Linked DNA regions of Drosophila melanogaster. The protein of the gene in region 2 interacts with the protein of the main gene of each other region in a biochemical or structural test. Each region holds a gene or a part of one and is shown on either strand. Other genes may lie near its edges. The genes, in order: PlexB and Sema2b.

Region 1 (3,931 bases), on a different chromosome or scaffold from region 2:
AAAATTTTTATTTTCTACTACGTATTATTTTTATGAAATTTTTTTAATTTTAATATGATGTATAAAATGATCCATTTTTATTATTTAAAATGCACATTAGATTCAGTTGTTTAGTTTCAGTTTTTTTTTTGTTATATTCCAATTTGATATTCCTAAAAAAGAGCGCAATTTCATCATATTGCTACGAAATTGGCCAAAACTTACCAAATATGTAAATTCGTTTATTCGATCAGAATTGATTTCAGGAACAGTAAAAATTGTTAACTGATTCGTTGAAAAGTATTTTAAAGACGATTCGCATCGCATGATTGAAGTAATATTATGCCCAAAACTGCCCGCCCATATTTTTGCAAACATTTTAGAATATTTTTTTTAATTTTATTAGTTGCTTAAACTTTTTGCCACGCCTACTCTAACTCCCTAAAGCCGCCAAACCGGTCACGCCCACACTATTGAACATTTTTCAAATTGTTTCTTCTTTTATTCCCCAATATCTATCGATATCCCAGAAAAATGATGAAATTTCGATTTCGAGTTCGCATTCACACTAGCTGAGTATCGGAGATCTTGACTATAGCATATTATCTTGTTTTATTTTAATACTTTAACGTTAATACTACCCAAATTGTTTCAAGAGTTCAACTATAGATTTTTTAATTTATAACATTTTAAAATCCTGTTTTGTTTATCATCATATTCCTTCCGCACTTTTGAATAATTACTTATATTCGCCGCTTTTTTATGTGGAGCTCAAAAACACTGCGACATTGTTCTACGATGACTACAAAAAATGACCAATAACTTCTATAAACCAATACGATATGTCAGGAGTTTCGGTCCCATACGAAGTCGCCGACTTAAGTATTTTATTTTTATTTTGATATGTGTTTGCTATTTTACCTTGTCGAATGCTTCCACACGCTATGAGAATACCATCGTGAGCGTAGCTTACTACTAGAATTTTGTTGAAGTTATTGACAAGCGATGTCTCAATATCTTCCGGACAGCCTCCAGCGTGACATTGCGGGGAATCATGTAACGGCCCAGTAACAGCCTCGGCCAGCACTCGAAGGTTTTCGTTAAGTTTAAGTATTTTATTTGTAGCACCCGCAAACAAAACATTGTGCATAAAGTCGAAGCTCATGTGAGTAAAATAATTTTTAGATTGAGAGTCTCTAACACTTTCTATATTGTTTCCAATTGATCGATTGCCATAGCTGGAAGCTGTTGATTGAACTGGTATTGATGGCAAGTTAAACTGGGCGACTATGTCATTTAAGGGAGATAACGCCTGAGCCGGCAGTTCTTCAATGCAGTTAACGCAATAATGCTGAGAACCGAGTATGATAATAATACACAGTACATGTAAAACATGTATAATGTTTGCACAATACAATTCCTTTCGCAACATATTTATTTGTGGTTTTGTGTATGATCAGTTTGTAGTTGAGTTTGGGCATCAATTCCCCATATGTCATTTTTATTATTATTTAGCTCTACATTCTCTCTCCTTAATATATAAACTTTTTAATATCGATTGAATTTAATGCGAATTAATTTTATATGCCGCTGATTCACTGTAGGTGCATAAATATTTTTAAATTAAAATGATCCATTTGGCTATTTTAGGTTTAGCGCATTTTTTATAAGGTTGTTTAACACAAAAAATCGATTAGTCAATGTAAACAAATATTTATTTAAAAAAAACTTCTTAGGCAACGCTCAAACGTTGTGTGTACACTATCAGTCCTAGAGCAGATTATTAGTATCGGCTGTATCAGCCTATCGCATACAAATTGAACTATCGAGCTAGAGGGCATTGTAATGCTGTATTCACAAGGAGCACATTAAAGGGAAGCTTACCATTAAAAACCTCGGAAGTATTTATGTAGATATCGTTTAAATGTTTTCAGTTCTGATTCCACATCCAATCAATTGGCTAATGTTAAAAGAAAAAAGAAAGAAGACACCACCGATGGAGTCTAAAATGTTCCAGGAACATTTTTGTAAAATAATATCAATGAAATGGTAGTCGCGTTAAAAAGAGCAATCTCCAAAGAATCTAAATTGATCTCATCTTCTTCCATGCAACACTTGCCGTGCGCGCTATTTTTATCTTAATATTGTTTTTGATTCGAGTGTTACAGACCCACCTATCTCTACACAAAGTTTTGAACAACATTGATTTATGTGGCACGATGGCTAAAATTTTATAAAATTATTTTAAAATCATAACATGTTTAATGTTAAATTATTTCATTAAGGGTTTCTCATGGCATGGAGGCTTCAACGCCACGTAGTGTTTGGGACTATTTATGTATATACTTATACTAATTTTACTTATGTACCTTTTTTACTATTAAAATTATATAAATTTAAAAAATTTGATTATTATTATTCAACAATTTTTGGAAAATTTGTCCAACGAATGGCTATTTTGCTAATCAATTGTCTTATTAATAATTTATTGAATTTCTCTACAACTGTAAATTAAGACCAACCGTCATTAAGACCTGTAAATTATTAACACTTAGTTAAATAAGTATCACTAAATAGATTATATCGGTGGGTTTTAAATTTTGACTGAATTGAAGATTCGATTTTTATATATTCTCAGAGAGATTTCTGATCCTGTCATACGTACATATGTATATACAATTTCATTTATTCTCCGAATATATAAGTTAAATTAGGGAACCACTACAGATATTGAAGTTTTATTTGTGGATTTTTTTCAACACTTAGCATTGGATATTGACCCCTATAAAAATGCTTCATCAATCCATTTGTGTAGTCACTTTGCAAGGGTGTACTTCGGTTAACCGACTATATTTCAAAGCGATAGTTAATGAAACTTATGCTGCTATCACATTATTTACTGTGAAAATTCTTTGTGAACTGAAGAGCAATCGGGAACATCGATCTTGACAACGCCGAATTCGTTTTGGTATAACACAGGATCTTTAGTTTATACTTGGTTGGCATCACATCGAAACTTAGCACGGGAAACCATGGTTAATCGACAATATTTGCGCTGTGCAACATGTACAAGTACATAAATAGAACTGTTTACACATAACAACAATGTATCAAAAATCCGTTAACAGCCGACGTGAACACTCGAAACATAACCAGACCTGCCGCAGAAAATGCTGCGATAAGAGATGCTAAAGAGATAAACCATCTCTTACCAAAAAGTTAGATTAGATTGACCAAAGAGGTTAATGTGTACACTTAAACTGTCTATAATCTTTACAACACATATAATGACAAACATGGATATTTTTCAACTCAATAAGAGAATAATTTATTAGGAATTTGGAATATCAAACGGCACAATGATACGCAGCTCTTACTTACTTACTTTTTATTAATTTTAATTTTCTTTTTACAAAAAAAAAAATGTATGCTTGGAGCAAATTATTAGGAATTATATAAGTATAATATTATTATTATAATAGTGTTATTCCCAGCTAAGAACAAATCGCTTGTCATCGGGAAAACGTTTTTGATTTTATAAATTAGTTTCCACCTTTCCAGTTTTGTTGGTTTGCACTCACAACTCACAATGACGCAAATGATTGCTTATTCTGTATTTTTTTATTCTAGTAGGAAAAAATCTACATTGGCAACGCTGCTGCCGTGAAGCTAAGAATGCAGTATTAAAAAGCGAAACAAAATAATATCAATAAAAAGGTTAATGGTAAACTTAGGAACTTCCAGCTCTTAAACCGCGCAAATATTTTCCTTTATGTGATAATTAAGCAAGGTCATGTAGAATCTATTGATAAATTTCTGATTACAAAAAAATATTTAAATATTCGTTGGTTTTAAAAATTGGAAGCAATTGACCCCAACAAATGCTAAGCACGAGCTCTTGTGACATTGTCTACTCCGAAAAAGGAATGGTAATCTTTTAATTTTTTGATCC
Region 2 (3,931 bases):
TGCCTGGCCCAAAATGGGAAGTTCGAAGCGATTTCTGAAAACGGTTTTCCTCTTCTATTTTCCTTTTTCGATTTTCTCGTCGCTCTTGTTTTATTTATACGTTTATTTTTCGATTGTAACACACATGCAACATGCCACACGAGGCAAAATGGCCACAAAGTGATGGGCCTAGTCTGCCATTGATTGGCAGCTGTCTCACATGACCCCCAATCCCCTAATCCAGAAGACCATGCCCCCCTTTTGTGCCACCAGCTGAGTGTCAAAGGCGCTTAAATGCTTTGAGCCTGCCGCCTGCCCCGCTCACTTCTTTGGCCAACGAGCCACTTTCTTCTTTTTGGCCAGGTTCTTTGGCCACTTTTTTCGGCTCTGGCCAATCTTCTCAGGTTCCATTGTACGCCGCGAAACGAGCTGAAACGCTTTTTTTGCCCCCTGCATTTAATACCCTAACTGACTGCGGCAGAAATTCCATCGCGTTTTTCATCCCTTTGTGAAATAATTAATGCCCCTGTTTTAAGCGAGGAATTAAAAAAATTTGGATCGTATCACACTCTTTAAAAAAGCGCCACTTTATATGCAATTACAAAATAAATAAAAAAAAGAGTGCTGAATGTTTAATTGAGACACTAAAATATTATGAAAATAAGTCTGTAAGTTTTTTAATGACCCCGTGCCGAATACTTAGTAAATTGTCTGTATATAAATACAACTTTACCTATCATATTAAAATATATTAAATATATAAAAACATAAAGAACAACAGTGACAACCAAATAGAATGAAATATACTTTTGAAAAGCTGAACATAACGATTTTTTTGTAGTATTTCCAGATATTTTGGTTTTAAAAAGTTAGAGCATCCAACTGGCGACTTGGCTGCACTTTTTCTTGACCCTATGCTGCAGTTCTGCGCTCATAATCACCAAAAAACAGACGGAGGGTCGGAGTGCTTTTGAAGTTCTTTCTGTTCGCATTGTTGCATGGCTCTTGGGCAACCGAAGGGGGGTATGCAGAGGCGTGGCAAACGGGGCATGGTGGGTCACGGAGGGGGCGGAGGGGCAAGGGCATGCGAAACAACCTCGACATGCGATGCAATCGCCAGCACTTTTTTCAACCAGCTTTTGTGTCTTGGTGGCGTTTTTTCTCAATTTTTTCTTTTTTTTTTGTTAGCCGCGAGTCGCAAATCGCAAATCGCTTGCTGCAAGTTGCGACCAGGTGGCTACTGTTACGGCCAAGATATTGCACACTTTGCTCGGAACGAAAAAAAAAGGCGAGAGAATTGCGCTTAGAGCTGTTCTAAGTGGCAATAACAATTTGGCCGTTTGCATTCGCAATTTATGTGCTGAATGGGCCAACTTGGCTGGCTGCACAAATGCAAATGGCAAACTGATGGCCAAAAATAACTCCTTTGTCTTCCTCACGCTGCACTCCGCACTCCGCCATCCGCACTCTTTTCTGCAGTCAGAGGCACGAAAGAGAACGGGTTGCAAACAAGTTGGGATCAACTGGTCAGCGCGGGTAATGCAAAGTGAAACACGCTTGGCAGGTAGCGCTCAGCTCAGGTGGGATTCTGATTGGATTCGGGGATTGGAGAGCGTTGCACAGTCGTTTGGGGATCGAGATTTGTATATTCACCTCACTGCTGCTGAGTTATGTTGCACACTTGTCACTGAAACTGAAACCTGTGTTTTTCATATATATTTCGCATTTATTATTCTTGTTTGTTGCGTGGGCACTGCTAGCGAGTTGCACGAGTTTTCTTTAGCTGGGTTTCGGTTTCTGACTGCGCTTTTCCGATTTCCCACTTTCCCGCTTAACATCCGCACACGATGACCGTTCGAGTCGCGATTTCAAGACAAACTGAACAATCCGTCGTTGTTGCTTCGCCGCCGCCGAAGTTTTCGCACCACACACACTCGTATCTTCGTAACTTCGGCTTTTTGGGGGAATTCGGCTTCGCTCTCATTCGTTTGGCAGTCGCTGAAGTTCGTCGAAAACGAGTTTCGAGCTGGCAATGCCGTGTCAACTGTTACTGGGAACACTTCTCAGCACCTACCGGCATTTTTAACAGTTTGTTTTGCTGTTGAGCCTACAGACTTGCACTGTGGGAACAGTCTAAAAAATGTTAACATTGTCCCTGAAAAATTTTTGGTTTCAAGATGAATTCATTTGTAATAATATATATTTTTATGTACTTTATGTACAAAAATCTAATGAAAATCGTATACAAATTTTCTTTATGTTCTCTTTTTGTGTATTTTATAATGTTAAATTTTAATTTATTTCAAAATAATGTTATCTGATGTTTTAGACTTTATTTAATTTACTATTGTTTCTATGTTTGTAAAGTGTTAAGAACTTCTTTATCTACCCTAATACTTCAAGTATTGATTTAAATCAAATTTTAGGAATTGGAACTAAAACATTGAATTTAAAAGTTTAATTTTTTCTTAGCAGTTTTTATTTGAAATATATATATATTACGAACGTTGTGCTTAAAACGCATTTCATGTACACGGACAATTTCGAGTCAAAATCCAAATTGCAAATCCACAAGGAAAAATGACAACTGCCGCACAATCTCAATTAGCCCAGGTTAGTAATTGATGTGGTCAGCTGCAAGAGTCCTTTCTCCAACACCTTCTTTGGCGATTATAGAACTTTCACTTAATTGCCATAAATTGGAAGTGCCAATACGTGTTGCATTAAACTTTCAGATCCATTCGTTGAGCGGCCAATCAAGTGATTGACCACAGATTGTGCGGAGGTGGCGGCGACGAAGGGGATAGTAAAATCATTTGGAATTAGGGCATGTGGAATAATTTATGCTCGAATTAATAATGGCACGTAGCCAATCATTTGAATGCGATTTAATTAATTTCCCATGCCGACATTCACCTGAAACTGGTCTCCGTTCCGTATCGTTCCGTCGTAATGACAGGGACAGGCCAGGCCAGGCCAGGACTTAAGCCACTCGTTGGCCGAGATGGATATGCACTACTTACGCCCGCTTGTATATCAATAAAATCAAATAAATATATCGTTTGAGTCCAGGGCCATCCACCTGAGATCCGCACGCATATAAATAACCAATGATGCGGCATTTATCTGCCCGCCACTCCCACTCCTGCTTCAACTCCTCGTATTCCACTGCTGGCCATCAGTCTCGGCTTACGTTCCATTTAAAATGGTTTTCGGTCCGTCGTGGGGGCCATTGAAACTAAAGACGAAGAAATTGTTCTTTCAGTGCACAGGAAAAAATCCGAGGCACTGCAAAACATAACAAAATATATCTATACCTTGTAAGCAAGTTCTTTTGAAACAACAAATATCCTACAATAACTTACTTTGATTTTGTAATTCAACTTTCCTTTACGGTCTAATAAGAATAAGGATTTGTATTTATTTTTCTCAGTGTTTCGCCGCCATTGTTCTGCGGGAGCTGGCAGGACTCCTCCAGAGCCGAACTTGGGGCTAAAAGGGATAAACGTTTTTAGCATGGCCTGCACGATTTTTATGCAAGGAACGTGTTGTTGCTGCCCCAGCCCCTTTTGGCTCAGAGGCTCTTGGCCATGTCCGTGCGACTGTTTCGCGTCATTTGCTCTCTGCTGGATCGTAATTTTATGGCTGCCAGCAGCTTCTTGGGTCTCCAATTGCCAGGGTGGCCAAGTGATGGCATAGCAGGCAGTCAAAGCAAACGGAAGTAAACTGAAGCCAAAAATTCTCGTTTTTATTTGACGAAGCGTTCAGTTCACAGAGCATTCCTCCAGAAGTTGTCAAAACAAAGCGAGCGAAACTAACAATAAGTGAGTGGAGAGGCAGACAACTACGGCTGGCAAAGATGGAGTCGGTTTGGGCCAAGGTGGGTTTTGGGCTAACAATGGCCCAACTGCATCACCTGGCATCGGACCAAACGGCAGGCGGAGCAGGCGAG

Evidence for each region.
Region 1: the proteins of Sema2b (region 2) and PlexB form a complex in vitro, tested with the Drosophila melanogaster proteins (one study listed by BioGRID).

The regions. Positions count from the first base shown.
Region 1 is NC_004353.4:42,014-45,944, forward strand, and holds the start of PlexB (plexin B), read right to left. Parts: upstream 1,766-3,931; 5' UTR 1,412-1,765; coding exon 901-1,411; exon of another isoform or gene 761-900; intron 1-760.
Region 2 is NT_033778.4:16,384,452-16,388,382, reverse strand, and holds the start of Sema2b (semaphorin 2b), read right to left. Parts: upstream 1,860-3,931; 5' UTR 1,633-1,859; intron 1-1,632.